7 linked regions of the Macaca fascicularis genome follow. The protein of the gene in region 1 interacts with the protein of each later gene in a pairwise test. Links are inferred from orthologs where the notes say so. Each region holds a gene or a part of one and is shown on either strand. Other genes may lie near its edges.

Region 1 (3,161 bases):
CCCTTTTTCAGTTGTGTTGTTTCGTCACTCTCAGGAAAAGCACCTTTCCACACCTGCCTGCATTTAACATAACTCGATTTTTTTCCCTCCCTTTTGCAGCAGTTGCGATTCTTGCAGCATCAAATGGCTATGGCAGCAGCAGCAGCACAAACAGCTCAGCTACATCGTCATCGGCATACAGGCAGCCAGTCAAAAAGTAAAATGAAGAGAGGCACGCCAACCAGTCCAAAATTCTGAGTCTTGCATTATTTTTTGTTCCTTTTTTAAAAACACAAGAGCATTGAATCAAAAGGATTGAGTTTCTACTTTTTGTTTTTTTAATGTGTCAGTCTTTTACATTGCTAGATGTACAAACTTTATACAGAAGCACAACCTTATCATTTTTAAATAAAAACAGGGAAATGGTTTAACAAACTAGGGTTGGTTTGCCTAAGTCATTGCTTTTTAAAAATGGTTTCACTATACATTATATGGAAGTGACCTAAGAAATAATAGAAACATCTTTCAGAAGAATGTAGTTTGATATTTATTTAGTATAAAATGTTTGTGCACAGTGTTAACAAATACAATTTTTACAAATCTGTTTTGAAAAGTGGCTATTTATTTGGGTTTCATACTCTTAATTACTTCATCCATCAATTTTTTAACTTCTTTGTGTCTTGTAACTGCTCGGCTCATGCAGTCCTGAAGTTTAGCTCCAGTTAGCCCGCTTCCACCTGAAAAATTATTTTGCCAATACTTTAAATCTATCACTGCTTTTCAAAAAACATTAATGTCATATCAAATTATGAAATAAAAAAATTGGATAACATAAATCAGGGTACAGTCTCAAGATCTGCAAGTTAGTTTCACAAGACCTCCAAGTGATTCTAATGTATGTCTTAAGTTTAAGAATCACTGACGTATACCATTAAGATGGAAGAAAATTTGAGGTAGCTAAGAAACTACAGTAAACTTAAATTAGGTAAATGAAATATCCCATATTCCATTTGGCCCTCCCTAATTTAAGGCTCACACTGAGTTTTCATCTACATATGTTTAGGACTGAAGTGGCAGGAACATGCCTGGTTTGTGAAGACAACAGAGCTTGCCTTCCTCATCCATTACTATTGTTAAGGTTCCTGTTGCCAGATGTTCCTCCTCTCCAGTAGGGTCAACTATAAGCAAAGTGCTATAAAAAGAAAAAAGTATAAGTTATCAATCCATGGAACAAATTTTACTTTAAAAATACTAAACATACTGTCAGCCTCCCAAGTAGCTGGAATTACAGGTACACACCATCACACCTAGCTAATTTTTGTATTTTTAGTAGAGACAGGGTTTCACCGACTTGGCCAGGCTGGTCTCGAACTCCTGACCTCAGGTGATACCCTGCCTCAGCCTCCCAAAGTGCTGGCATTACAGGCATGACCCACCATGCCTCGCCCTGCTCTACTATTTCTGAATGTGCTAAAATCCTTGGAAAATACTGAAGATAGCTTCAGGTAAATCTTTAGTGAAAGAATTAGAAATTAACATTACACAGGTATAAGTAAACCAAGGAACAGGTAAAGTGAACACAATTATCATCCAAATCAGGATGCTTATGAAAGCAGACAGGTTGACTATAAATAATTGTGCAGGGACAAGTATAAACTCAAGTGTCCAGGGAAAACTAGGATGTAGAGTCAGACTCATAGCACTTCCTGAAGAGTTAGAATGCTGAACATCAATTACCCAAATCTTAAATATAGAAAATTTTAAAGTAAGTTTGATTAACTTACTCATCAAACACAGCAAAGGAAGTTGCAACTGGATGAGTTCTAATATTCAAATAACTTTTCTTCTTTAAATTAACTTCTGCTAAAGCAGTTTCTTCATTTATAGTAACTTCAGGCAACTGTACTAAGAAAAGGCAAATTTGTAAAGTAAGTCTCTAAGAAACAAATGGTTTCTAAGCTTTTTTTTTTTTTTTTTAATTCACCTTTCCCTCGATTGAACTTGCCCAGAACATTTCTTTTTAAAAAGCACCTTACAGCCACTAAGGTAAATACAGAGGATATACATTGCTCTTCACAACATCTGACATGCCTACCTAGTGCTTATTGCATAATTTTTTTAAGTTTAAGAAGTCAAAATGATTTTTTTTTAAATTTTTAGAGATCGGGTCTTGTTTTGTTGCCCAGGCTAGAACTAAATTCCTAGCAATCTTCCCACCTCAACCTCCCCAGTAGCTGGGTGGGACTATAGGCATGTGCCACTGTACCCAGTTTTGAAATGAAAATGATTACTAATAGATAACATGTCTAGCTAATTTGTATATGCCAGGTACTGTTTTACGCATTTCCACATTTTCACTGTATTCACCTAATCAATACTCTTAGAAACTAAATACTATTATCCCTATTTTATTATAGATAAGGAAACTTCAGCACAGAGTGACAGAGCCAGGAATCAAACCTAAGTCTCTGCTTTAACCACTCTGTTACAATATTGTGCTAACTTCATTTTCTACCTCCAATTCACTTAACCACTCTATTATAATATTGCTGTGCTAACTTTATTTTCCACCTCCAATTATTTGTTCCTACCAATTCATCATTCACCAATGATAGGGAATATGCACAAGTTATTGAAATCTGTAACTAATCAGTCAACCTAGACTCCTTGCTAAGAAACTTCACTATTACTATGGCCTCACAGTAAAAAGAACAGAATCCATTCTAATTCTTTTGGCAATATCACATAAAGAACTATGAGGATACTGGCAGATCTTCACCAATGACCTAGCCAGAAGTTACAAGTCTTGTCTCCCTCTCCCACCATTATTAACACTATTATGGAAAGGACTGAAGTCCTAACCTAAGTAGACGGGTACAGTCAAAGCAGCACTCTAAAGAGCATTCAGTTAGAGAATATACAACTATCAACTATATTTGGAAAGTAATGGCAGTATTACATTCATTAATTTGGAAGCATACGAAAGCAAATGTACATTAAAAGTTTCACAAAACAGAACATTCTAACCCATTAGTGGGAATATTGTCGTTTTTGTAAGGCTGCTTACCATTTTTTAAAGCCGCTAACAAAGCAAATGTGCAGGCATCCAAAATGTTTCCATCATAGTCGAGGCAAATGAGATCACAGTATAGAACCCAGGCAAGCTAAAATAGAATTAACAC
Region 2 (4,082 bases), on another chromosome or scaffold:
CCACGCCCGGCTGAAACTATATTTTTCTAAACGTGATTTCAAAGTGTTTCTTTGCTACAACAAGTAAATTTGAGGCAGGGACATTTTTTTCATTTGGGTAACCATGACGTTTGTATTCTCTAAAAGAAGCATCATTTGAGATAGAATAAACATTAAGAAATCAATTACGCTCCTAGGAGAGTGAATATGAGACTGATTGCTTGCACTGAAAATACTGAAAAGTGTCTAAAGTAGTTTTTAAAAAACTTATGTCGTTGGACCCTCACCACCTGGCCTGCCTTGCCCCCATTCCAACGTATTTGACTACATGTCTAAACCTACAGTAAGGCTCCCTTTTCTTCTCCCTCTCCTCCACCATAGCCTAAAGACTGAATTAGTGTTATGATTAACCATGTATTTAAATAAGGACACCGCATGTTGTATTTTAGCAAAAAAAAATTCTGGTGCAACAGAAGCATGCTGGATAAATTCTGGGTTCTAAAGCATAATTTGACTTTGTCAATTCTCTGTCATTCATCATCGGAGGGTGGCAGGTTGAGCTGAAGCCTCGAGCACTGGTGGAAGCCATGGCCAGTCCAGTTAGCATGTTATCAAGCAATTACAAGACGAATTTTTTAAGAAGGAAAAAAAAAAAAAAAACAAAAAAACCCTAACGTCTTCCGACAGTGACATGCCTCTGAGATGGGGTGCTCAGCTACAGCGACAGGGTAAACAAAAATGTCTTTGGCAAAGCCTTCATCTTGCCGTAGTACGTGAGCTGTACTTCTAATTTCTAATAGGAATCAGCAGTCCACGGTTGATTTATGGGCAGAGTGTGTCGTCCCGCACCGTGCCAGTTCCCGGAGCCTCCGCCAATTAGCTCTATTTTCTGCTTAAGCCGTTAAAGCCACCTCCATGGAAACGCCAGGAGGGCAGGCCGGGGGGAAGGGAGCAGATAGGTGCGCCCTCTGGAAAGAAATACACAAAGGGCCGACACTGCGCCGCCGTGTCCCTGGCAACTCCACGCCAGCCCAGCGCGCGCGTTTCCCGCCGCGCAGCGGCAGGGTTGGCGGGCGGCGCGCGCTGCTCGCCCCACGTCGGCTGGCAGAGCCCCTCGGCCTGCTCGCGGACGCGGCGCCAGAGCAGCGCGAAGTCCGCTTGGGGCGGTGGCGGCGGCGCCCGCGCTGTAGGGACTTGTAGTCCGCGCGCCTCCCGGGTGCCTCCCCCGGGTAGGCCGGCCCGCGCGTCCCCGCCTGCCGCAAGCCGACTTCCTGCGGCTGCCAAGACTACACCTCCCGCCGTCCTCTCCGCTGTCGGGCCGAAAGCGAAAACAAATTCTGGGCTGCGAGGTGCTGTTCTCTCCCGGGCGCCCCCACCCGCTCCCCGCCCCTCCGGCGTCCTCCAGCGAGGTGGGGAAACGAAAGGCCGCGTCTTTCTTTTTTGGTTTCCTCGGCTCCCGGCGTGGGGAGTGCGCGGGGGACGCAGGCCTCGCTTCACCTGAGCCGGCCCAGCGTGCGCGCCAGGGGCGGGGGTTTTCTCGCTTCACACCGGTACGGACGAGGAAACTTGTGGGGGCGGCGACCCCCGGCCTGGGTCCTGAGTCAGCCAGCGAGGCCGTCGGGAAGTGACTGCTCACTCTCGGGGTTTTCCTTAATCCCGCTCCTCCCGTTTGTTGTGGGCGCGTGTTCGCTCTGAGGAGGCGGCCGCGTGCGGACAGCCATGCATTAGGCAGGGCTCCCCTATGCGCCCGGAGAGCGCGGAACGCTGCCTCGGGCCGCCGCCGCCTGCCGCCGCTCGCGGAGCCCGAGCCCCAGCCCGAGCCGCCGCCTGCCCCAGGCCGGGGCGTCGAGCTGCCGGCGGCCTGGCCATGTGGGGCTAGCCCTTGCCGCGCCTGGCCTGTAGCAGGACCAGCAACATGGAGGCGGCCGTCGGCGTCCCCGACGGCGGGGACCAGGGTGGCGCGGGGCCCCGCGAGGACGCGACGCCCATGGACGCCTATCTGCGGAAACTGGGCTTGTATCGGAAACTGGTCGCCAAGGACGGGTCGTGCCTGTTCCGGGCAGTGGCGGAGCAGGTAATTGCGGGGGGGGGGGGGTGGTGCGAGGGGAGGCGGGGACGGCCCGGCGGGTCTGGGTGGGGAGGCAGCTGCGGGCTGTCCGGGCCGCCCACGGCCGGGGCTGCGCGTGCCCTCGCTGTCGTCACAGCGCCCCATTGTAACGCCGGAGTGGGACGCTGCTTTGCGTCTGAAAGGTGCAAATTGAAACTTCAAAGCTCGCAAATTAACGGGGTGTCTCTCTCCTGATGAAGAGGTAATGGATTGAGGACAACTTGTGAGGCCTGCTCGGAGCTTGTACAGTTGATTTATTGCTGGGGACCTGGCGACATGATATTTTTCACTTCTGTTCCGCATTCACCTTCCATCCCTTCGTTTAAGAAGCACCACGCTCACCCCACTCCAGTAAAACAAGTGTTTACTAGAAGTGGTGGATCAAACTTTACTTGTGGAATATATTTTGGTTTGCTGCTGGACTTTGAAATGTGGGGTAGGCAAGCTTGCCCATGTCACTTGAATGAAATGGGCAAAATGCCGTTTGAGAAAACCAACCTTTTACAAATACAGAATATTTTGAAGGATTTGTCTTTGAGTAGGTTCCACCCTTTATTATGGTCTGCTGGGCTGTGTAGGTATACTAAACAGAACTGACTTTTTTTTAAAAAAAAAGCCTGTTTTGATGTTGGTAGTAGAAAGGGTACGTGTAACTGGAGCTTTTCAAAACCACTTTCTAACACAGTTGCTCAGGAAGATTTTTCTGATTTTTTTTTTTGAGCGAGCTTATTCCATGTTATGTAACACTGTGTTGTAGGTGTACTGTCACCAAAACCCATCCTGTATTGAAAAATAGCTGCCGAAGTAGCTGGATAAAAGTTTCTGCTCTGGTGTGTCTTTCAGACCTTTCACATGTGCTTTCGTTTGACCTAGGACCTGCTCCCCACACCCCATCGCACACCGCTCCCTACCCCCCTGTGGGGTTTTTATGATGTTTCTGTTTTCTTTTCCCTCACCTCTTTTGAATGCTAAATAACTTTTAAAATTTCTATTTGTGAGTAAATCTTTTACTTAACATCTGGAGGCCAGTCTGTTTTCTTGTTTTTAAACATTAAAAGGCAAGCCATTTATTTGCCATAGGGAGTAAAATCTTTCTTTAAAACAAATTGATTTAACGGACACAAACTGTTGCTTTATGTTGTGGACATTGTCATTGAAACATTCTTCCAGAAGCTCCCCAAACCAGGCTCTGTCCGTTAGACTTTTCTCTATTTCAATGTTGCTGTGAGGTATGTTAACACCCACCCACTCCCTCCAGTCCTTATTAGTAGTAGGTAAATAGTCTGCCCCATTTGTGAATTTTCTGAGTCTGTATCTGTCTTGCTTCCTTGAACTCCTCAGCACCTCCAGAAGCTAGGGAAGAGGTGGAAGTGAATTCAGCCCATATTTATTACGTACTGTTAGACCTAGCAAGAGTTTGGTAAGCGAGGAGGTAGAAGTAAATGGCGGTAAGGGAAGCTTGGAATTTACTTGGATTTGAGTTATCTGAGTCCTAGTTTATATTGAAGCAGAAAGGTGTGCCTGATTTCCGTAGTGCATACCATAGATACTTGGTGGCCTTGATTATACAGAAACCTCTCTGTTATTGTAGTGGGATCTCTGTTTTTAACTGGAAAGGGGGCAAGAGCTAGTTTACACTAAGAACTCTTTGTTACATCAGGTAACACATTTTATTGTATTTTGTAATGGGGCTTAGGTTAGGCATAAGGGACTACCCTTCCCAGTTATGTGACTCCGTTTTAGTCTGATGAGCTTAGCTCAAGACCTTGAACTTTGGGAGAAGTTCAGTAGACTACAGGTATAGCCATCATCGCCAAAGGCAAAGTGTGTGTGTGTGGGAAAGAGGAAGTAATACCAACGTCAGGCTTCCCTTTTAAAATAAGTACCAAGGATTTATATTTTTGCCAACAATTTCTCCTATAAAATCACAAATATTCATCATTTCTAAGAAGGAATCAGAGTAAATAATCTAAGTGGCAGTTTTTAAAGAGGGGAG
Region 3 (4,282 bases), on another chromosome or scaffold:
CTATTCCTTTAAGGAAAGGTTCAAGATAATTACCAGCCTTTGCTGAACACTTGCCACATGGCACAAACTTTAAAACATACCTTCTGGCGGGCTGTGGTGGCTCATGCCTGTAATCCCAGGACTTTGGGAGGCCGAGGGGGGTGGATCACCTGAGGTGAGGAGTTCCAGACCAGCCTGGCCAACATGGTGAAACCCCATCTCTACTTAAAATACAAAAATTAGACAGGTGTGGTGTTAGGCACCTGTAATCTCAGCTACTTGGGAGGCTGAGGCAGCAGAATCGCTTAAACCTGGAAGGCAGAGGTTGCAGTGTGCCAAGGCTGTGCCACTGCACTCCAACCTGGACAATACAGTGAGACTCCATCTCAAAACAAAAACAAAAAAAACCCGGCCGGGTGCAGAGGCTCAAGCCTGTAATCCCAGCACTTTGGGAGGCCGAGACGGTCGGATCACGAGGTCAGCAGATCAGGACCATCCTGGCTAACACCGTGAAACCCCGTCTCTACTAGAAAACACAAAAAATTAGACGGGCGAGGTGGCGGGCGCCTGTAGTCCCAGTTATTGGGGAGGCTGAGGCAGGAGAATGGCGTAAACCCGGGAGGCGGAGCTTGCAGTGAGCTGAGATCCGGCCACTGCACTCCAGCCCAGGCGACAGAGCGAGACTCCGTCTCAAACAAAAAACCAAAAAAACCAAAAAAAACCTCTCTCACATTTAATTCCTTCAACCAGGAATCACCATTACAAATGAGGAAACTGCCTAGTTTAGAAGTCCCCTGGCCAGGGAAACAGAACCCAACTGTTTCACGTGCCAGGTATATCCAACTGCAAGGCCCCTGTTCCTGTGGATCCACACATACCCCTCACCCCATTCCTGCAGCCCCACCTACTGCCCAACACAAAACTCTGCACACACTAAAGCCAAAACCGTACAGATCAAATAGACTACAGTGCGGTCCACCTGTAGTCAGAAACTGGGGGAGTGACCTCAGAGAGAGAAGAACCTGGTGTCGATCATTCTGTCGTTTCCAAAGGAACCTACAAAACCTGGATGGATTTAGAAGTGGCCAGAGGAGCCAGCGCCAACTTCACATCAGACACTAGGCGGAGATGTGAGAAAGCTTTCGCAGTCAGTAGCTGAGGAAACAAATCCTAATGCATGCCCGTTATGAACCAGAAGCCCGGTAAGTGCTGGCTGCGAATTACCAGGTGGTGGTGGCAGTTGTAGTTGATACAAGTGTCCAGATGGGGAAGGAGGTGAGGGATACATTTCAGACATCAAGAGAAAAACCTAGCCACAGGCACACGGGTGATATGAATAAACATCCGCTGAATGGCCGGGCCTGTGGCTCACGCCTGTAATCCCAGCACTTTAGGAGGCCGAGGCGGGTAGATCACATGAGGTCAGGAGTTCGAAACCAGCATGACCAACATAGTGAAACCTCCGTCTCTACTAAAAATACAAAAATTAGCCAGGCGTGGTGGTGTACACCTGTAGTCCCAGTTACTCGGGAGGCTGAGGCAGGAGAATCGCTGGAACCGGGGAGGCGGAGGTTGCAGTGAGCCGAGACCGCACCACTGCACTCCAGCCTGGGCGACGGAGCAACACTCCGTCTCAAAAAATAAATAAAAATAAACATCTGCTGAGAAAACATATGTCTGAGAAAACAGTATCTAACATATTTACATCCTGGCTATTTACAAAGACACTTAAACTTAATGCGTGTTGGGAAACTATTGGGCAAAGTTCTCACTTCTTCATACAGGTGAACTCAGCTCACAAAGACTTGAAATGACTAATAACATTTAACGGTCATGGGGAAGTTTGGGAGACATGACTGCAAATCACCTCCATGGCTCCTCACCCAGCTCAAGCACTTTCTTCTCCCTAAGGAAATAACCAATCTCCAGCCCAGCCCACTTGTTTTTCAAGCCCATGCAGGAGGCCAACTCAGCCAGCAATTAAATCGCACTCAGCCCCGCCGCTCAGTTCTCCGTGGTCTCGGGCAAGTCACTCTACCACTCCCAGCCTCAAGTTCCCCATCAGTAAAAGTGGAGTAACACGAATTGCTAGCAGACAACAGGCCCGTGAAAGATCAAACGAGGCATCGTTTATACGAACAGGCTTAGAAAACTTAAGACGCCGCACAAAGGGAGGCGAGTGTTAACAGAGGCCGCGTGGACCGGGGTTTGGGCTTGCGCCTCAGCTTCGGCCGTCGGAGCAAGTCACTTCCCTGCTGCTAAACTTCGGTTGCCTCAACTATAAGATAGGTGGAGACCAAGCAGCCCCGAGATCACGGAGCGGGGCCCAAATGCCAGTCCAGACAGGCCAGGGGGCTGCACCGCCGAGACTCCCGGACCCCGGAACGCGGGGGCCCTAGGGTGCAGCCCCTCAGGTCCACGAGGCGGCACCCTGTCCCGCCGCGGCCCCGTCGGCCTCCCAGGCCCGCCGGAGGGACTGCACCTCGGCCAGTGGGCGGGCGGTCGGGGCCGCTGCGGCGACGGCGGCGGCCCGGCCAATGAGGAGCGCGGCTGCTGTTGGGGGCGGGCGCACCCGGTCCTCCGCGTCGCGCCCGGGCCGCTCCCTCCCCCGCCTCGAGCTCCACTATGCCGCGGACCCGAAACCCCGAAGAAAAGAAAGGTCTCTCACCGTCCTTTCGCCACCGCCCCGCGCTTCCTGATGAGTTCGTCCAGGGAGATGTCCGCCATCTTGCTCCGCCGAGCGAGCCGAAAGCAGCCGAGACACCCCCAGCCCGCGAGCCCGCCCCTTCGGCCGCTACAGAGCGACGAACTACTTCCGACGTCCGCCGACCAACTCTCGCGACAGCCAGCTAAACGCAAGCAAGAACCGGAAGGGGCGGGGACGCTCCCCGTGAGCCTTCGCGGAGCTGGCTGCTCATCTGCATACAGAAGGTCGGCACATTATGAATTATTTATTCTCTCCGACGAAAAAACATTAAATGAAAAGCAACAAAATAATTTCATTAACGAGTAAGACAAACTTCAATGGAAGTGGATCATTACCTCAACGGTCAACTATGATACTCATCATACGCCAAATGAGAATATGATTCATTACCTAGGAAATAAGCGGTACTGTTTCTTTATGCCTTAAACTTATGAGTAAGGAAAATAACGATTCGGGGTGACGCCCGAATCCTCACTGCTAATGTGAGACGAATTTTTGAGCGGGTAAAGGTCGCCCCTAAGGTGACCCGCCTACTTTGCGGGATGCCTGGGAGTTGCGATCTGCCCGAACCCTTTACATCTGAAAAGTAGACTGGGCGCGGGGTGGCACAATTTCTATTTCTTTCCGGCACACGGTGGGTGCGTTCTCATTCCTGTTTTCTTCTCCCGCCAACGCCGCCAGTTCCTAGGGAGTCTAGTCACCGGCTGAGGACGCTCTGCACTTCATCGCTGTCTCCAACTGCGCATTGAGTCAGTCCAAGGTTGCCCACAATATTGACGTTGTGACCCACGAAACTGGCAATTTCCATACATGCGGACTTAACCCAGTTCTCCCAAACTTCCCTGTATAACCGCTTCTCTGTGCTTCAGAAAGATATGTCCGTCCCCGGCCTCACACAGCAGCTCAGTTAATGACAGCGTGTCTTCACTTTGCGACCTTATAATGTAGTGCTCTTGGGGGTGAGAGCCGGACGACTGCCTGGCTCGCGTCCCGGTGGCGGCGTGACCGGTGGCGGCGTGACCGTCACGAGCAAAGCACTTCATCTCTCTGCCTCTGTCTTCCTAATATGTATTATGGAGCAAATAATTTATAGGGCGTTGGGAGAGTTAAAGAGACTAATTCATTTAAGTGTTAAATACAGGGAATGACTTTTGCATTGATACAACCCCAGCCTCCAGCATGCGCCAGGCATGAGGTAGGTGTTCGGCACATATTTGTCCAATCACTCTAAAAATACACTCCATGCCCTTAGAACAGATGGGGTTAAGTCCTCTTGGCCATCAGGCATCAGGAGCTCCGTACAGAAACTGGGTAAGAGGCCAGTGACGGTGGCTCACGCCTGTAATCCCAGCACTTTGGGAGGCCGAAGCGGGTGGATCACCTGAGGTCAGGAGGTTGAGACCAGCCTGGCCAACACGGAGAAACTCCGTCTCTACTGAAATTAAAAAAATAAAAAATAAAAAATAAAAAAGCCAGGTGTGGTGGCACAGCCTGAAATCCCACCTACTCAGGAGACTAAGGCAGAAGAATCACTGGAACTCGGGAGGCGGAGGTTGCAGTGAGCCGACATCGCGCCATTGCACTCCAGCCTGGGCA
Region 4 (3,523 bases), on another chromosome or scaffold:
TGGCTAGGCTGGTCCTGAACCCCTGACCTCAGGTGATCCACCGGTCTCAGCCTCCCAAAGTGCTGGGATTACAGGTGTGAGCTACCGCACCCAGCCCTTGCGTTTTACGTCTATAAAATGGGAATGAGAATCACTGCTACTTCTCAGGACTGCAGTGAGGTTTATGAGGCAATGCTGTGCAGGCCCTTTGTGAACACAAACAGCAGGTTTTATTGCTAAGGCCCAGGTTGGGGTAAGGAGGAAATCACTGCTCCTCAGATTGTTTTCATGTATATCTCCACAAAAGTGAAACTGTGAAAATGTGGCATAAAGGTAAGTACTCACAGCAGAAAGGTCAGACATAGGCAAACACTTACATGTCTTGCTCAACCTGCTGGGTTCTCTGCTGATGGATGAAATCAGCCAGTGCAGGGGGGACGTCCAAGTCCTCAGGACGATCCTGTGGGCGTTCCCGCCTTTCCTTAGAGAGAGCTGGAGACCCAAGCAGTGACAAAAACATCATAAGCACATTCGTGTCTTTTCTAGTTACACAGGGGTAAACTGACTCCCTTTGTGTTCTGTTTTTTTTGAGACAGGGTCATGTTCCTTCCCCCAGGCTGAAGTGTGGTGGCACAGTCACAGCTCACTGTAGCCTTGACCTCCTGGGCTCAAGTGATCCTCCCACTTCAGCCTCTGGAATAGCTGAACTGGGCTCCCTTTGAAGAAAGGAGGGTGGCAGAGAGACCTGTACACCCTTCCTGGTTTTTGCATCAAATAAAGTAAGACTCAAACACAGGCAAAGTATGCACTATTTACCTTGAGGGAGAGGTTTCTGAGCATTGGGTTTGATGAAGATTTTAGGAAGAAATGGTGTGTTGGAATTGTCAATCTTCTCTCGAAACTTGAGCTGAGGTCGGATGATATTTTTTGCATGAAGCAGCCGGAAAGTTTCAGATTTTGCTTTTTTGCCATATTCTGCTGCCTATGATCAACGCATACAAATACTTTATAACACAGCAACTTGATGAATTAGAAAAGTAAATTCCAATTTATGACTTCCAAGGAGACAAGAACATCGCAAGGGCCATTCACTTAAGAATGTACGTGCATGTAGAGGTCTCCAGAAAGTGGAGAAGAGGGTATAATTAGGTTGTGTGTGTTTATGAGAACAAACTAAAGAAGGCAGTGGCCAGTTCTCTAATAAATTAGAACAGAAATGCATGTCAGAATGAGCAAAATCCCTATTATGAAGCTGACATCAAGAGCCAGTTAATCTGAAAAGCCCTCACCTTACGGTTCCAGCTGGACACTACCGTTTTGGGGACCTGCAAGCCGGCAGGGAGGACAGGCTGCTGATTCTTGTTTACACCTGAGGCTTCATCCAGTAAAATACCCTAAAAGTAGAAGCGGTACTAGTAAAGCATTTTTCCTTTTGAGGTAGAGTTAATTACCTAACATTTTATTGATTTAACACGGAGTATCACTCTGTCACCCAGGCTGGAGTGCAGCGGCATGATCTCGGCTCACTGCAACTCTTTACAGTTCTGAATAAGGCTCACTGCAACCTCTGCCTCCCAGGTTCAAGCGATTCTCCTGTCTCAGCCTCCCGAGTAGCTGGGATTATAGGTGTGCACCACCACACCTGGCTAATTTTTGTATTTTTAGTAGAGATGGGGTTTCACCCGGTTGGCCAGCCTGGTCTTGAAATCCTGACCTCAAGTGATCCACCTGCCTCAGCCTCCCAAAGTGCTGGGATTATAGGTGTGAGCCACCGCACCCAGCCTAATTCCCTAACATTTTAAAGAGATGTATCCAGAGACATTTGTGTAAGAAAATATATATATATAAGAATAGATCAATGTATCTATCAAAATATCATGTCGTATGTGATAAATATATAGCTGGTCCCCAATGTAAGACAGTTTGACTTATAATTTTTTGAGTTCACAATGGTGTGAAAGTGATTTGCATTTAGTAGAAACCACATTTCAAGTACACTTACAACCTGTTTTTCTTTTTCTTTTTTTTTTTGGAGACAGAGTGTCTTGCTCTGTTGTCAGGCTTGAGTGCAGTGGTGTGATCTCGGCTTATTGCAGCCTGACTCCTGGGTTCAAGCAATTCTCCTGCCTCAGCCTCCCAAGTAGTTGGGACTACAGGCACGCACCACCATGCCCAGCTAATTTTTGTATTTTTGTATTTTTTTTTTTTTGAGACGGAGTCTAGCTCTGTTGCCCAGGCTGGAGTGCAGTGGCCGGATCTCAGCTCACTGCAAGCCCCGCCTCCCAGGTTCACGCCATTCTCCTGCCTCAGCCTCCCGAGTAGCTGGGAGTACAGGCGCCCGCCACCTCGCCCGGCTAATTTTTTTTGTATTTTAGTAGAGACGGGGTTTCACCGTGTTAGCCAGGATGGTCTCGATCTCCTGAACTCGTGATCCGCCCGTCTCGGCCTCCCAAAGTGCTGGGATTACAGGCTTGAGCCACCGCGCCCGGCCAATTTTTGTATTTTTAATAGAGATGGAGTTTTACTATGTTGGCCAGGATGGTCTCGATCTCTTGACCTTGTGATCTGCCCGCCTCGGCCTCCCAAAATGCTGGGATTACAGGCATAAGCCACTGTGCCTGGCCCTGTTTTTCCTTTATTTTGAGATGGAGTCTCACTCTGTTGCCCTGGCTAGAGTGCAGTGGTCCAGTCTCAGCTCGCTGCAGCCTTCGCCTCATGGGTTCAAGCAATTCTCGTGCCTCAGCCTCCCGAGTATCTGGGACTACAGGCGCACACCACCACGCCCAGCTAATTTTTGTACTTTTTTTGTAGAGATGGGGTTTCACTATGTTGACCAGACTGGTCTTGAACTCCTGACCTCAAGTGATTCACCTCCCCTGGCTTCCCAAAGTGCTGGGATTACAGGCATAAGCTACTGTGCCCGGCCACAACCTGTTTTTCACTTTCAGAAGTATATTCAATGCTACTTGAATTATATGAGATATTCAACGCTGTAGTATAAAAATAGGCTTTGTGTAAGATTTTGCCCAACTGTAGACTAACGGAAGTTTTCTGAGCACATTTAAAGCAGGCTCAGTTGCGCTATTTGGTAAGTGAGGTGTATTAAATGCATTTTTGACTTATAATACAGGTTTATTGAGACACAACCAATTGTAAATCAAGGAGCACCTATACAAGTTTTGACAATTTAAAAAAATAAAAATTTTACAGAGTTAATCAATAAAGGTGATTAGTATGTCATGCCAAGTAATTAATGCATTATTTGTTCAAAGGCAGGTAGGACAGTAACTACCCATGCCCAATACTCGATTGACTCTTTACAGCTCTGAATTGGACTGAAAATTCTAATATGATTTAACAGTGTAATGTGGCCACTAAAATAACTAAGAAGTCCCTGGACTGCCTACATTAAATACAGAAGTATACTGTTTAGAACGAGACTGCAGGGAGTCCTAATCTATTTTGCACTTTAAAGCAGACGTGAAATATCAGCTTGGGCACTACTAACAGAGGCACACGCAGGTGATATATAGGAGTATGGCAA
Region 5 (4,317 bases), on another chromosome or scaffold:
ACTAATTGGACTCTTGACTTTAGAACAAACATGAGGAGCCTCAAATACTTGTGCTCATTTGGGAAAACTAACATTGATTTGGGAGGTACCACATACCAGGTGCTATGTTAAGTGCTTCCTTGAATTCTCATTTTATTCTCAGAACCTTGTTTACAGAAGAGAAAACTGAGGTTTGGATGGGGCGGGTAACTTGCCTGTGGTTACACAGCTAGTAAGTGGTAGAATCAGTGTGACTGACTCCAGCTTGGAGTTCTTCCCACCACTGGGTTACACAGTCTTTCCAGCCCCTCTCCGCCACCTGCCTAATCCCAAGTAAAGCACATTGAGAGAGCCGCAAAACGAACTGCCTCTAGTGCTCAGGATCGGTTTCTTCATGAACAAAACAAAACTGCCTGAATTAAGCAGAGGCTGGATTAGAGGTAATATGCTTCCTTCAGTGGTGAGGTTAGGTTCTACGTTCCAAAATCAAAGAAGGGGTTTCAGGAATATCAGTTGCTTTGCAGATGCAGATAATTTAAAATAAAAGATCCTGATCTTTTGAAAGATTTGGAAGGTGTGCTCTGCGCCTTTAGGAGTTTTTAGGTATTTCCGTCACCTTCAATGATACATTCCTTTGAGCCTTTACTGCTACTTCTGAAGACTTGTTTATATCTTAAAAATATCCATATATTACAGGCAAACTAAAGGTTCATGGGCATTTTAATAGCACTCTACTGTTTAGACACATGCCAGTTTTTTAACCTCATTTATTGCTAACATGTATTCAAAGCAATATACAGTTTATTGATACTAGAACAAATCAGGAAATCAAGACATGATTGCCATCATAAAATCTTAATCTTCAGAGAACAACATTTCCACCAGGTTGGCCTGAAGACACTCAGATTCTACCAGTTTTTGAGGCTGTAAGAGAAGAACAGTCAAATCTTCACTACTCCTATAAAACGTTATTAGGAGTGGAATAGGTTCTGCCTTGAATGACACTAATCTTTGAACACAGAAATTATGCAATTCAGAAACTATCAACTAGTTATAACAAGTTTTATGAAAGAATCAAGATATTTGCTGTAAGATGAATCACTAACATACTTGGCTGAAGAGACTTAAACCCCAAATACCAGGAAGCTCCACAGACTAAAACAGGAAACAGCAAGCCCAGTGCCCTCTTCTTCCCCTCAACTCTTTAATTTAGGATCCCAGGGGCATGACTGAACTAGAAGAGGTGCCCTTACTTTTTAACCAGAATTATGAATTAAATAGAAAACAACTGTTGATGTCAGTGTTTTAAGGAATTATGAGTCAACCTACTTTCTGGCTATAGAATTTTTAAAGAGTGACTTAACATGAAAAAGACCTAATAGCTAGATATTTACATTATTAGTGTATTGGGATTGGCCATAGGAATGGACTTTCAGCAGCACTCTCAACAGCAATGGAATTGAGATGACATGTCAAGATCTTTTCAAATCTGGATCCACAGCAAGTTAAAAGTTTTGACAGTGAATTACAGGCCCAGCATATTTAAAGATACTTACTGTTCCATACTTAAGTAGTGTAGGCACTGCTGTTACTTTCAAGTTTTTTCTGAAGTCATTATTTGGATCTTTCCAACTGTTCCAAAAGAAAAAGTGATCATGAAAAAAATTTACTTGGTTTATTACGGTTTGCCTAATATTTGACATATTCCTACATTTAATTTTTTAGTAATCACTGTTCTTGCAAACACTTAAAAAACCTTGTGGACTATGGCTTAATTTGTTAATTACCCTGTGCAAAGTTTTAAAGTGTGACTAAGATACAAAAGTAAAGCCAGCTAAGTTCTGAGCTTACACCAGACCAAATTCGTTGAATTACCCTTACTTAATTCAGGTGGGCATTTTAAATTTGTATTTAATAGCTTCTAATTGTTGTGAGACATTGCCTTATAACACAGAAACTGGGTGCGTGTCCCTGAGGCCCTTCCCGCCTCAGTTTGCAATCTGTGCATGTCTGTGAAGTAGATTATACGTTGCCACTTACTAAGGCTTTTCTCCTACTTGGCAGTAGATGAACACACATCCTTCACTGATGTGCTTCAGCCCCTCTCGTACGACTGGTTCAGCTTTAAAAAAAGTTGAGATAAAATAATCGCACGTCAACTCCAGAATCAGGCACTGATAAACAGTGTTCTTTTCCCCTTCCCCCAGTCTTGGTAAGTACTCAGACTTTAACCTGCAGCTAACTGAAGCGGTCAGCAGAAGTCAGGTGTTCACTTCTGGTCTTAGAGCCACGTTAAGGGTAAGGACCAAATCCCAGTCCCGATTTGCCCCCGCACCACCGCGCCCATAACAATGGAAAGCACATGTATTTGCTGACCAACTCACGTATCCTGTAAGACTCTAATGGTACTGGGGGAGTGAGAAGTTTTAAGGAACTAGATTCCAAGATCATCCGGGTTAAATGGTAAAAGGAAGAGCGCTCTTGGCAGGACGGGGTAGAATTTAATAGGAGTTGACATGGGGACAGCTTAGATTGTCCCGCGGATGTCTGGAACCAAGACTCTGCCTCTGCTAAGCCCCCTTTCTGGTCGTAGGTTCGGCCTTCCTGCCATTTCCATTGGACAGCAGCCCCCGAATCCCGGCCTCACCCTGCACGCAGTCGGGGCACCAGCTTTTCCCTCCGGCGTCCTTAGAACCCGTAAAGTAGGCGAAAATGGTCTTGCCATTGTGCTCTTCCACGGCCCGGTGGAACTCCTCGAAGCCGGACACGCTCACCTCCTCGTAGCGGGCCATTGGCACGACGTGCAGCAGCTGCTGGAGGAGTGCACGTCTGGCTGCTGCAGGCGGGGCCCACGTGGGCGGGGCGAGGCTGTTTCCGGATGGGCGAGAGGGCGGAGCTTGCGGAAGCCAGCGCCGCTGAAGAGTACGGGAGCCTCTGAGGACCACAATCCATCCGCATGGCTTTCTGCTCTAGTTTCAGATTTTTCTGCGCTCGCTGCACTCCCAAGCCCAGGCATCTACCCTAATCTAGTCCCAGCTCCGACCCCATGGACACTGGCTGCAAAACTTAACGCCTGGCTACACCTGGATCCTTCAGTAGTTCGGCGTCTCAACGGCTCCCAAGCCGCCCTGCGCCTGTTGCTATGGCGACTGGGCGGGCGGCCGGAAGCGCGGCCTAGTTGGGGCCCCCCTTGCCCGCTTCCCGGTAGCGGCGCCTCGCCCCAGCCAGGTGGGCTCGGGATGGGGCTAGGGGGGATTCTGGGAAGCTGCTTTGAGTCATGGACCTGGGGGAGAGGAGATCTGACTCGGAAAGCCTTTGTTGTTTTGTCCCCCCAATTACCTTTTCTGCCGTCTAGGCTTTAGGGGGGCCTGGGACTGGGGGCGGGTTCCTGAGACTGGGCGGGGGTGGGATGGGTGAGGGGCTAGGAGGGAGAAAGGCTGCGAGGCCGGAGCTGAGTGTGTGAGTGCCTGTGTGGAGCAACTTAGGGAGCGAGGTGCTAAGACAACCCGGGGCCGCGGTATCGAGGAAGGGAACTGCTCTGGAGCTATGAGCCGGGCGACTGGCCGTGGGGCCTTGCCCAGGCTGCGCCGGGGAGAGCAGGCGGCTAAGATGCCGGGTCGCTGCGTGGGGCCCAGCAGGTCGGGGCGGGGAGTTCGGCGGCCGTGGGGGAAGAGACGGGGCGCAGGGACGTCCCGGGGCCGTGGTGCAAGGCGCCGGGCGAGGTCCTTGGAGTGGGAGACGCGCTGTGTGAGTGCAGAAAGGGCGCAGGGCTGTCAGCGCCCGCGGGGGACGAGACAAGCGGCGGAGACAGCCGATGCCGCCGGGGCGAATGAGGCTTTGGAAGCTCCTGACCCCCCAGGCTCCATCGAGGCTGCAAGGGACCCTGGGGCTGTGTGGGTGAATGGGGCTGTTGGGGAGCCCGAGGTGGTGGGGCCTGCCGGGGCTGTGTGGGTGACCGGGTCTGGGGAGGAGGAGGCCGAAGATAGGAGTCCCCGGGGCTGCGAGGGAAAAGGTCGCCCGGGATCTCTGGGCCATGAGAGCATTCTGCACCTGTGGCTGAAGGTGCAGGCTATGAGGGCCGCCTCGGGATGTGGGGAAGGAAGTAGAGTCGAGCTCCATCCCGTGCCTGTCGGAGAGGGACCTGTCGAAAGGGGTGTTCCTGGCCGAGCTTCCTGGGTAGAGACAAGCCGTGGTGGTCTTACAGGGCCCTGGGTGAAGGGCCAGGCAAGGGGGATCCCTCGGGCCCCCTCAGGGCCTACAGTTCTGGGCTTAGGGGCTGCTTACGAGAGAACCTTAGGCTTCTGTGGACAGGGACAGGCTGGGAGGATGCCTCCTCCT
Region 6 (3,393 bases), on another chromosome or scaffold:
GACAGCCCAGATGAGCTGAGCAGCACCTGAGGTTGGTAAGAGATGCCCAGCCCTGAGGAGGTAGAGACGGTGGTTATCTGTGAGTGTGACATCCAGGCTGTCTCTACCCCCAGAGAAACAAGGGTGACACGTGTGCAGCAGGTGGGCCTACACGGAGGGGCCTCCTGGCCTGTGAGCATCAGAGACCTGGCAATGCCAGGAGGCCAGGCTACTCTGGACCTGAATCCTTTTTATTGACTAGCTCCCCCAGAAAACACATCGAATATTGTCAGGGAACAGATACATAGTATTTCAGCATCTTCAAGGGATTGAAGACGTGTGTTGCTGTTTTGGCCCATCCTTCCACTTTCTAGAAGTGTGATGATGGGCCTCTCTGAGCTTTGGCCACCTCATCCAAAGAAGAGACATGGCCCATCTGCCTTTCCTGTATCACAGGGCTACAGTGAGGCTGAAATTAGTTGATGTGTGGGAATGCTTTATAAAGTACCATGCAACGTGCCCTGGTTTGTACAACTCATTTATTCAACAAAAAAGTACAAGCCTCCCCTTCAATCAAGACCTGCCTGCAGGGGCGGGCTACTTCAGTGTCTTGAGCCACTGGGAGCTAGAGGGTTTAATACTTTAGTCCACTTCCCTTCATCTCTGACCCCATCGACAACATGGGGCAGGGGAGTGAGGGCCCGGTAGAAGGGTACTGAGGCCCCTTATTTCGTTCGCTGGTAGAACTGGAAGACTGCTTTCTCCTGCTCATAGGTCTCGATGGAGCCGGGTCGCAGTCGTCGGATTTCAGCAATGGCATCTCCTGCAGCCAAGCCCCGCTCCTTTACCAGGTAACAGGCCAGCATGGTGCCAGTGCGGCCAAAGCCCAGGGCACAGTGCACTCCCACAGCCTATGAAGAGGGAGCTCGATGGGTGCCGCCCAACTCCCCCAGCCCCAACTGTCTCCTGTCCCTCACTTGGTTCTCCCCACAGCTCCTTCTCCTGTGCCAGGTCCAGGGCTCTGCAGCAAAGTCAGGGAGGGCTGTCCCTGCACTGGGTGGCTAGGAGGCCTCTGCAGTGGCTGGTTCAAGAGTTGCCCGCCTCCGCACAGCCCGCCACCTGTGGTGTTCAATACAGAAACCACTCGCCACGGCTACTGTGGCTACTGTGTACTTGAAATGTGGCTAGTCCAAATTGAGATGTAGTGTGAAAAACGCAACAGGGTATGAAGAGGTAGTGGAAAAAAGAATGAAAATATCTCATTAAGATCACCAAAATTAATTTTATCGCTTCTTTGCTTTTTAAGAATGCGGTTGCTAGAAAAATTAACATTACATGGAGCCACTTACGTTCCGTTATATTTGGGCAGCTTTACTCTAAAAAAAAAATGGTAAACAGCCTCCACCTGACTTCAACCCCCTACCTCTCTCAGGTGTCTGTCCACACCCTTCTCTTTCTCAACTCACAGTATTAGCTGGTTTTCACCGCCTCTCCTCAAGCCCAGTTCGCACTGCTTCGCCCTCTCTTTAGTTCCTTCCGTTTAGCGCCTCCCTCTCCCGCACTGGCTTCCCAGTCTCCCGGCCAGTCTCCCGGCCCTACTGTCTGCCCCTAGTACCTCCCCGAGCCCAGTTAAGTTATTCCAGGCCGGGTCTCCCCAGCTCCGCTCGCGTCCCCGGATGACCTTCCAGGCCCCTCCCTCCCTGCGCTGACTCCGCCCTCTGACCTCTCCCCGTGCGTTGGCCTCGTCCACGATCTGCACGAAGCGGTCGATCTGGTCAGGGGCCGGCGGGCAGAAGTCGGGGATGCGCAGACGGTGCAGGGTGAGGCCGGGGCAGCTGTCGCTGTGAGGGGGCCCGCGCTCTGTCAGGGACACCAGGTGCCGCACGCCCAGGTCCAACAGGAACTGGTAGTGGGCGGGGAGCCGCGGCAGCGCCAGCCCCGCCAGCCGGCCCGGGAGCACCCAGGAGAAGTTGGGGGGCTGCACGCCCATCGCTGGGAGAGGGCACAGAACAGCGGGTCATGGGGGGCGAGGCTGGCCAGCCCCGCTCCGCCCACCCGTCTCCTCGCCCGCTCCGAGCTGGGTAACCCACCGCCTACCTGGCCTCGGCGCCTCCCGGGCCACGTGGTTTGCGGGGCGCCCTCCTCGGGGACGCTCTACCCTGCCGCGGGGATTGGCCCAGACCCTGGGGCGGGGCTGGAACGCGGAACCCAGGCTCTGAGCGACCGAGGGAAGCGCCGCGATACCGCCCCGCCCGAGCAGGTCACGCGGTGATTGGCTGGCTCATCATAATGGGCGGGGTTACTTCCGCGTGGTTCAACCCACTCAGCTAAGAAGGAAGACCTGGAGCGAGTTAGGAATTGTTTGCTGCGGAAGGGGCAACCCGGGGTCGGGCTCTGCTGCGCCCTGGCGGCGTGTTGCAGTCATTGCGTCACTAGCGCCTGCCCCTGGCTCCCCGCGGGCCGGCCTAGTTCCACCTCCTTCATGCTGGATGCCCTGGGGTTTAAGAGATGACAAATCGGCTTTCTCCCAGGACGAGGAGTCTGCTCTCTAATGACTGACTGGTAGTTATCAGCGACTTTTTGAACTGTTCCAGTGAGAGGGAATTACTGCTGCGCAGGAGGCTATTCTCATTTTTTCATTGCTGGAACTATTAAAAACTTACCTAGGGTAATAATTATAGTAATAATAACCAGCACCAACAGTCAACCCCCACTTCTGTCAATCCGGTTGCTCCTCAGGCCTTATTGAGCATTTATTATGCGCCAGATAGTCTTCTAAGCACTTAACACATACTCATTTAATCGCCACAGTTATAAGGTAGGTGATCTAATGAATCCCATTTTATGGATGAAAAAACAGAGGCACTGGAGAGGTTAATAAACTTGACCAAAGGATGATGACTAATGCCTCCAAAATCTTTAATAACACCGCCATTTCCTAAAGTTAAATGGAACATTGTTTTCTCTTCACATAACCCCCTCATGTCCCCAAATATTATCTGGGTTAAACGCTTGTGGGTTTTCTTAATTTTTATTAGTATTTCATATTTCTTCATTTTTCAAGGCTAGTTCTCTGGGTCACTGTCCCCTGAGCAGGCTAGAGTTGATTAGTGTTGTTCTTACAAGGTGGGGGGTCCTAGATCTGAACACCGTTTCCGCTGTCATCTGACCAGTCCATATCCTCATTTGAGTAATGTGCTTGTAGTGATGCAGACTAACTGTAATTATGAAAATAGTTAACCCTTACTGAATTTGTTTATGTGCCAGGCCCTGTGCCAAGCGCTTTCTGGAAGAACCACATGTGAAAGGCATTTTTGTATCTTTTTTGTACATGAATCATTGGAAGCTTAAAGAAGTTGGTTAACTTGGCCAAGGACACAGTGATCCAAGCCCAGGGCACTTGGCCATGAGGGT
Region 7 (4,134 bases), about 52 Mb from region 1:
GTTAATATACTAATACCACTAAGAAGGTGATTTCTGTTAAAGTTGGTTATTTCAATGCTATTCGGACAAAATTAAACTATTAAAAAAAAGCCTAGGTACCAAAATACTAGCAATAGAAGGATGCTAACTACATATGACAGAAATCCATTCAAAAGAAGAAAAGTTATTAATAGATTACTAATCTAATAAACAAGCAATATCATAATAAATTTTAAAATGCAAATATTTTAAGCATAAAACTGATCCCATATAGCTCCCCATCAAAAATAGAAACAAGTTTCCTTCCACTGTTTACATACATACCATAAGAAAAAGGCTAAATAAGGACTAAATCAACCTAAAATAATTTGAAAGTGGCATAAGGGCTGAGAGTTATTAGTGAAATCTAAGGACCATCATGAGAGCATTTTCTAGTACCACATTCAGGTTGAAATTGAGATTGTAATATACCCCAGGCTTTATGGAAATAAGGGTGCATCTTTGAAAGAATGGCTTAAAGTTCCAGAAAGTGATGAGTTGTTTGGTTTTTTTACACCTTGAGCTACCTGCACAGCTGCCAAAAAGTGTTAAGGTGGATGATGAATACGCCTCTGAAAGGCTTACTACAGCTCCATATATTTTGATTCTTGAATCAAACCAATTAACTAATGCACTTTACAGTTAGAGCTCTCACATGGTAGAGTGTAAGGCAAGCTTCCCAATAGGAAACCAGTAAGGATCTCCATTTCCCAATCCCTTCCATGCAATCACGCAACAGAGACACAAAGAAAGTAATGAAAACCCAGCTTGCAAAAACAGAAAGGGTCCTACATAAAAAGGACCTCAGGTAAAGAAGGACTAAAACTATTCTTCATGCCTCTGCAATGTAGAGGTGAATGCTGCTCATTTTCCTTGCAGGAACCCAAGTTCCATCTTATCTGAAACATATCCTATATATCTGGTGACCACAGAAAATGGGAACCAACCAAAAGAAGTGAGTCGTGAAATGACTATTACCCCATGAGCAAGCAGCAAGAAACATACATCATAAAGGAATTGGATGCCTCCCCCTAAAGTTACCCATTCATGAAAAGTAGACAGTGCTAACCAGATGTCAACTGAATAAATGCTGTCAGCCTCAAGTTTTCTGATAACCAAGCTAAAAAGTTTCCAAGAAATAAGAAAATAAGGCTTCTCTAATCTCACTTTTCTTCTACAGTTTAATTTTAAAACTTAAAGACAGTTCCTTGGTGCCTAGGTTTAAAAAAAAAAAAAGCCCCTCCCACCTGTTCATTCCACTCCAAGAAAAGTCCTCTTTATTGGCACTATTTATGGGAAAGCCAGTGAGGTCACCCCATTTTAAAAAACAAGTCAGTCTCTGAAAATAAGATTTCAATGAAAATGCAGCGCAAAAGGGCACACGACTGCAAAATTCAAACAGTAAGAACGAACCTCTCTGTAAAGAGAGATCCATCACTGCGCGGCTTCCGATGCCACCCGAGGAGGAAGAGCACGCAAATCCTGTCCATCGTTCGTTTAAAACGAAAGAACAGTAACAGTCGCAGACAGAGACCAACCCCTACCATCCCCCGTCATCCCTCCGAAAACACTGAGGAAAAGAGCAGCACGGAGCAAAAGGACCAGATGTCATGGATTTTGCACTTAATGCTAACCAGGAGCTTGGGACCCAACAATCAGCAAACAGCAGAACCCAAGATCGGGGGCGGGAGGCGGGGTGGGGGGGGGGGTTCATCCGCAGTCGGAGCGATTAGAAAACAGGTTTCTGCCTTCGTGAGAAGCCTCATCGTGGGAAATGTCACCGCCTGGCTCGACACCTGCTGGATCGGCCCCTCCAGGAGCGGCGGGGAGTCACGCCGGCAGCCGCAGGGGACCCCCCGTCCGCCCCCGCCCCCGCTCCCCGGTGCCCGCAGCCCCCGAGGCCAGGGTCTCGGGGAGGGAGCGGAGCCAGGCAGTACCAGGTGTAGTCGTCCTCGTCCCGCCAGGCGGCTATGCTCTCCAGATCCAGCAGTTCCACCTCGTCCAGCAGCGTGGGGGCCGGCGAGGGCGGCGCTGCAGCTCCCCCCTGCGGCGTCCCCGCGCCCCCCGGCTCCGGCCCGCCACCGCCCGCGCCGAAGAAGCCCGCTGCCGGCTTGAAGTAGACGAAGGGCGCCTCGGGTGGCTGCGCCAGGCTGCAAAGCAGGGAGGGCGCGGGGCTAGGCAGGCAGAAGGTGCCCGGGAACGCGGGACTGGAGCCACCGCCGCTGCCACTGCTGCTGCCGCCACCGCCACCGCCCCCCGCGCCCAGAGCCAGCCCGAGCCCCAGGCCCCCTGAGGCCGCGGCTGTGACCGTGGCGGCCGGGGGGCTCCGAGGACCCAACGGGCTGCAGGCCCCGGCGGGGGGCGGCGCGGCGGGCGGCGGCGGCGGCAGCAGCAGCAGGTGCGGGGCGGCGGCCGCGCTGGCCGCTCGACTCCGCAGCTGCTCGTTCTGCTTCTCCAGCTTGCGCACCAGCTCCTGCAGCTTCTTCACCTCCAGCTCCGCGTTCACCACCGGCCCGGAGCCCGCTCCAGAGCTGACCCCCGCCGAGGCGCATTTCACCTGCTCCGCCATCATCTTGGGCCCCGAGGGCGCCGCGGCCGCCGGGGAGTACGCGCCGGCGCGCCGGCTCCTCGGGCCACAGGGAGGCTACGGCTCCTTCCCTGCCACCCCAACCTGGGGGGCCGACCACGCGCGGGCTGAGGCCGAGCCGGCGGTTCGCATCAGCACCGGGCCCTCGCCTCCGGCCGCAGCAGCCACCACCAAGCTGATCTGCACATGCTCAGTGCGTCCCTCCAGTCCCCTGGGCGTCGCGGCGGCTCCGGGTTTTAGCCGCGGCCCCGGGGCGGGGCGGGGCGAGAGCGCCGAGGGGGCGGGGCGGGGGGGGGCGGAGAACCGTGGGGAAGCCCACCCAGGGGGCGGGGCCGGCAGCCCTGGTGGGGGCCAGGGAGCCGCACCCACCCTTGCTACCTAATCTCAGGTGCCTGATTGGACCTGGCCTGAACTTTCCCGCCACAGGCACCTCCTGCAGCTGCTGGGACAGCGAACTGCGCGGGTCTCTGAGCCAGGTGCGGGGGCCAGGGGGTTCCCAAAAAAGCAGCTGCAGGTGCTGGCCCTTGAGGAGTGCACCTAGGGCCCGCTGGTTTGCTTCCTTCCCAGCTCTCTGTTAGGCTCCATGACAGCATTTAATACTCACTGACTAACGAATCCTATAGAAAACTTAAAGGCTGGGGATCCTTATTCTGAAAATCGACAAGTGGATAGGTGGAACAGAAAGGCTTTGGGACGATGCCACTCATGTACTCATGGGTAATAGGCAAACAAAATGGTGGGAGACAGGAGGCCGAGAAGAAAGAGAAGAAAGCCCTCTCTCTAAGAGGTAGAGTGGCCAGCTGCTAAGGAGACAAGTGTTTACTTAAGTGTTTATTCTAAAATAGTCAAATTTGAACTGTTACCACCATTGTTTGCCACAATAAAAGAAGAACTGCTTTTTTTTTCATGTTATGTATATTCACGCATTCTCCAAACAAAAGATCTTTGAGCACCTACTCTGTGCCAGGAACCATTCTAAGAGCTCGTGATGCGGGCAGTGAGTACAATAGGCAAAAATGGTTATGGAGAGAAATATGAGTAAAATTGTTTAGTGCGCCTTCTGTTAAATAATGTATGAGTTATTAAAGGCAGTCTTGCTGGGGGAAAAGCGGAAAGCAGAAAACCTCAGAATTCTACCCAATACCCTTTAATCTCACCTGCAAATCTGCTATTTCTTACCACTTGGAAACCATGAGCAAATCTGCTTTTTTAAAAGAGGTTTTAAGCAGAGGAATTTAATCGAGTTGTGTTCAATGAATACTGACTTAGCATTTTGAGTGTTTAACACAATCAAAGGAAAACCTGAGATTATATTATGAGAAAAATTACACCACTGGTTCTCATCCTCAGATGATATACTATCTAGTGAAAGTCCTTGCTAGGGACTTTACATACCAATCTTTGTGACAATGTACCTCGTTTCTCTGGAACTGCTAACACATTGTATCTATTGGTTTTAGATATGGTTTTGTGTCTTCCTGCTCAGAAACACTTGTATCTTCTCAATTGTTAATCTACATCTCTAGCTT

The links.
Region 2: the proteins of EXOSC8 (region 1) and OTUD4 interact in binary tests that used the Homo sapiens proteins (3 or more experiments, as listed by UniProt). The two-hybrid records come from large-scale screens. The link is inferred for Macaca fascicularis from reciprocal best matches to the Homo sapiens genes EXOSC8 and OTUD4.
Region 3: the proteins of EXOSC8 (region 1) and POLDIP3 interact in a two-hybrid assay, tested with the Homo sapiens proteins (2 studies listed by BioGRID). The link is inferred for Macaca fascicularis from reciprocal best matches to the Homo sapiens genes EXOSC8 and POLDIP3.
Region 4: the proteins of EXOSC8 (region 1) and EXOSC10 interact in binary tests that used the Homo sapiens proteins (3 or more experiments, as listed by UniProt). The link is inferred for Macaca fascicularis from reciprocal best matches to the Homo sapiens genes EXOSC8 and EXOSC10.
Region 5: the proteins of EXOSC8 (region 1) and TXNDC17 interact in binary tests that used the Homo sapiens proteins (3 or more experiments, as listed by UniProt). The two-hybrid records come from large-scale screens. The link is inferred for Macaca fascicularis from reciprocal best matches to the Homo sapiens genes EXOSC8 and TXNDC17.
Region 6: the proteins of EXOSC8 (region 1) and DUSP23 interact in binary tests that used the Homo sapiens proteins (3 or more experiments, as listed by UniProt). The two-hybrid records come from large-scale screens. The link is inferred for Macaca fascicularis from reciprocal best matches to the Homo sapiens genes EXOSC8 and DUSP23.
Region 7: the proteins of EXOSC8 (region 1) and SLAIN1 interact in binary tests that used the Homo sapiens proteins (3 or more experiments, as listed by UniProt). The link is inferred for Macaca fascicularis from reciprocal best matches to the Homo sapiens genes EXOSC8 and SLAIN1.

Annotation. Positions count from the first base shown.
Region 1 is NC_088391.1:16,553,978-16,557,138, reverse strand, and holds the end of EXOSC8 (exosome complex component RRP43), read right to left. Parts: intron 3,144-3,161; coding exon 3,047-3,143; intron 1,885-3,046; coding exon 1,764-1,884; intron 1,172-1,763; coding exon 1,065-1,171; intron 717-1,064; coding exon 601-716; 3' UTR 503-600; downstream 1-502. Other genes in the region: SUPT20H (transcription factor SPT20 homolog), read left to right, coding at 100-237. UniProt on the Homo sapiens protein: Non-catalytic component of the RNA exosome complex which has 3'->5' exoribonuclease activity and participates in a multitude of cellular RNA processing and degradation events.
Region 2 is NC_088379.1:150,079,099-150,083,180, reverse strand, and holds the start of OTUD4 (OTU domain-containing protein 4), read left to right. Parts: upstream 1-1,276; 5' UTR 1,277-1,894; coding exon 1,895-2,053; intron 2,054-4,082.
Region 3 is NC_088384.1:8,974,595-8,978,876, reverse strand, and holds the start of POLDIP3 (polymerase delta-interacting protein 3), read right to left. Parts: upstream 2,807-4,282; 5' UTR 2,707-2,806; coding exon 2,648-2,706; intron 1-2,647. UniProt on the Homo sapiens protein: Is involved in regulation of translation. Is preferentially associated with CBC-bound spliced mRNA-protein complexes during the pioneer round of mRNA translation. Contributes to enhanced translational efficiency of spliced over nonspliced mRNAs.
Region 4 is NC_088375.1:223,710,565-223,714,087, reverse strand, and holds part of EXOSC10 (exosome complex component 10), read right to left. Parts: intron 1,374-3,523; coding exon 1,269-1,373; intron 962-1,268; coding exon 796-961; intron 472-795; coding exon 357-471; intron 1-356. UniProt on the Homo sapiens protein: Catalytic component of the RNA exosome complex which has 3'->5' exoribonuclease activity and participates in a multitude of cellular RNA processing and degradation events.
Region 5 is NC_088390.1:6,683,020-6,687,336, reverse strand, and holds the start of TXNDC17 (thioredoxin domain-containing protein 17), read right to left. Parts: upstream 2,811-4,317; 5' UTR 2,772-2,810; coding exon 2,627-2,771; intron 2,102-2,626; coding exon 2,020-2,101; intron 1,612-2,019; coding exon 1,536-1,611; intron 904-1,535; coding exon 835-903; 3' UTR 1-834. Other genes in the region: uncharacterized protein, read left to right, coding at 3,526-4,317. UniProt on the Homo sapiens protein: Disulfide reductase. May participate in various redox reactions through the reversible oxidation of its active center dithiol to a disulfide and catalyze dithiol-disulfide exchange reactions. Modulates TNF-alpha signaling and NF-kappa-B activation.
Region 6 is NC_088375.1:101,284,535-101,287,927, forward strand, and holds DUSP23 (dual specificity protein phosphatase 23), read right to left. Parts: upstream 2,125-3,393; 5' UTR 2,077-2,124; intron 1,972-2,076; 5' UTR 1,970-1,971; coding exon 1,703-1,969; intron 891-1,702; coding exon 705-890; 3' UTR 502-704; downstream 1-501. UniProt on the Homo sapiens protein: Protein phosphatase that mediates dephosphorylation of proteins phosphorylated on Tyr and Ser/Thr residues. In vitro, it can dephosphorylate p44-ERK1 (MAPK3) but not p54 SAPK-beta (MAPK10) in vitro. Able to enhance activation of JNK and p38 (MAPK14).
Region 7 is NC_088391.1:68,708,034-68,712,167, reverse strand, and holds the start of SLAIN1 (SLAIN motif-containing protein 1), read right to left. Parts: upstream 2,818-4,134; 5' UTR 2,591-2,817; coding exon 1,956-2,590; intron 1,591-1,955; exon of another isoform or gene 1,566-1,590; coding exon of another isoform or gene 1,432-1,565; intron 1-1,431. UniProt on the Homo sapiens protein: Microtubule plus-end tracking protein that might be involved in the regulation of cytoplasmic microtubule dynamics, microtubule organization and microtubule elongation.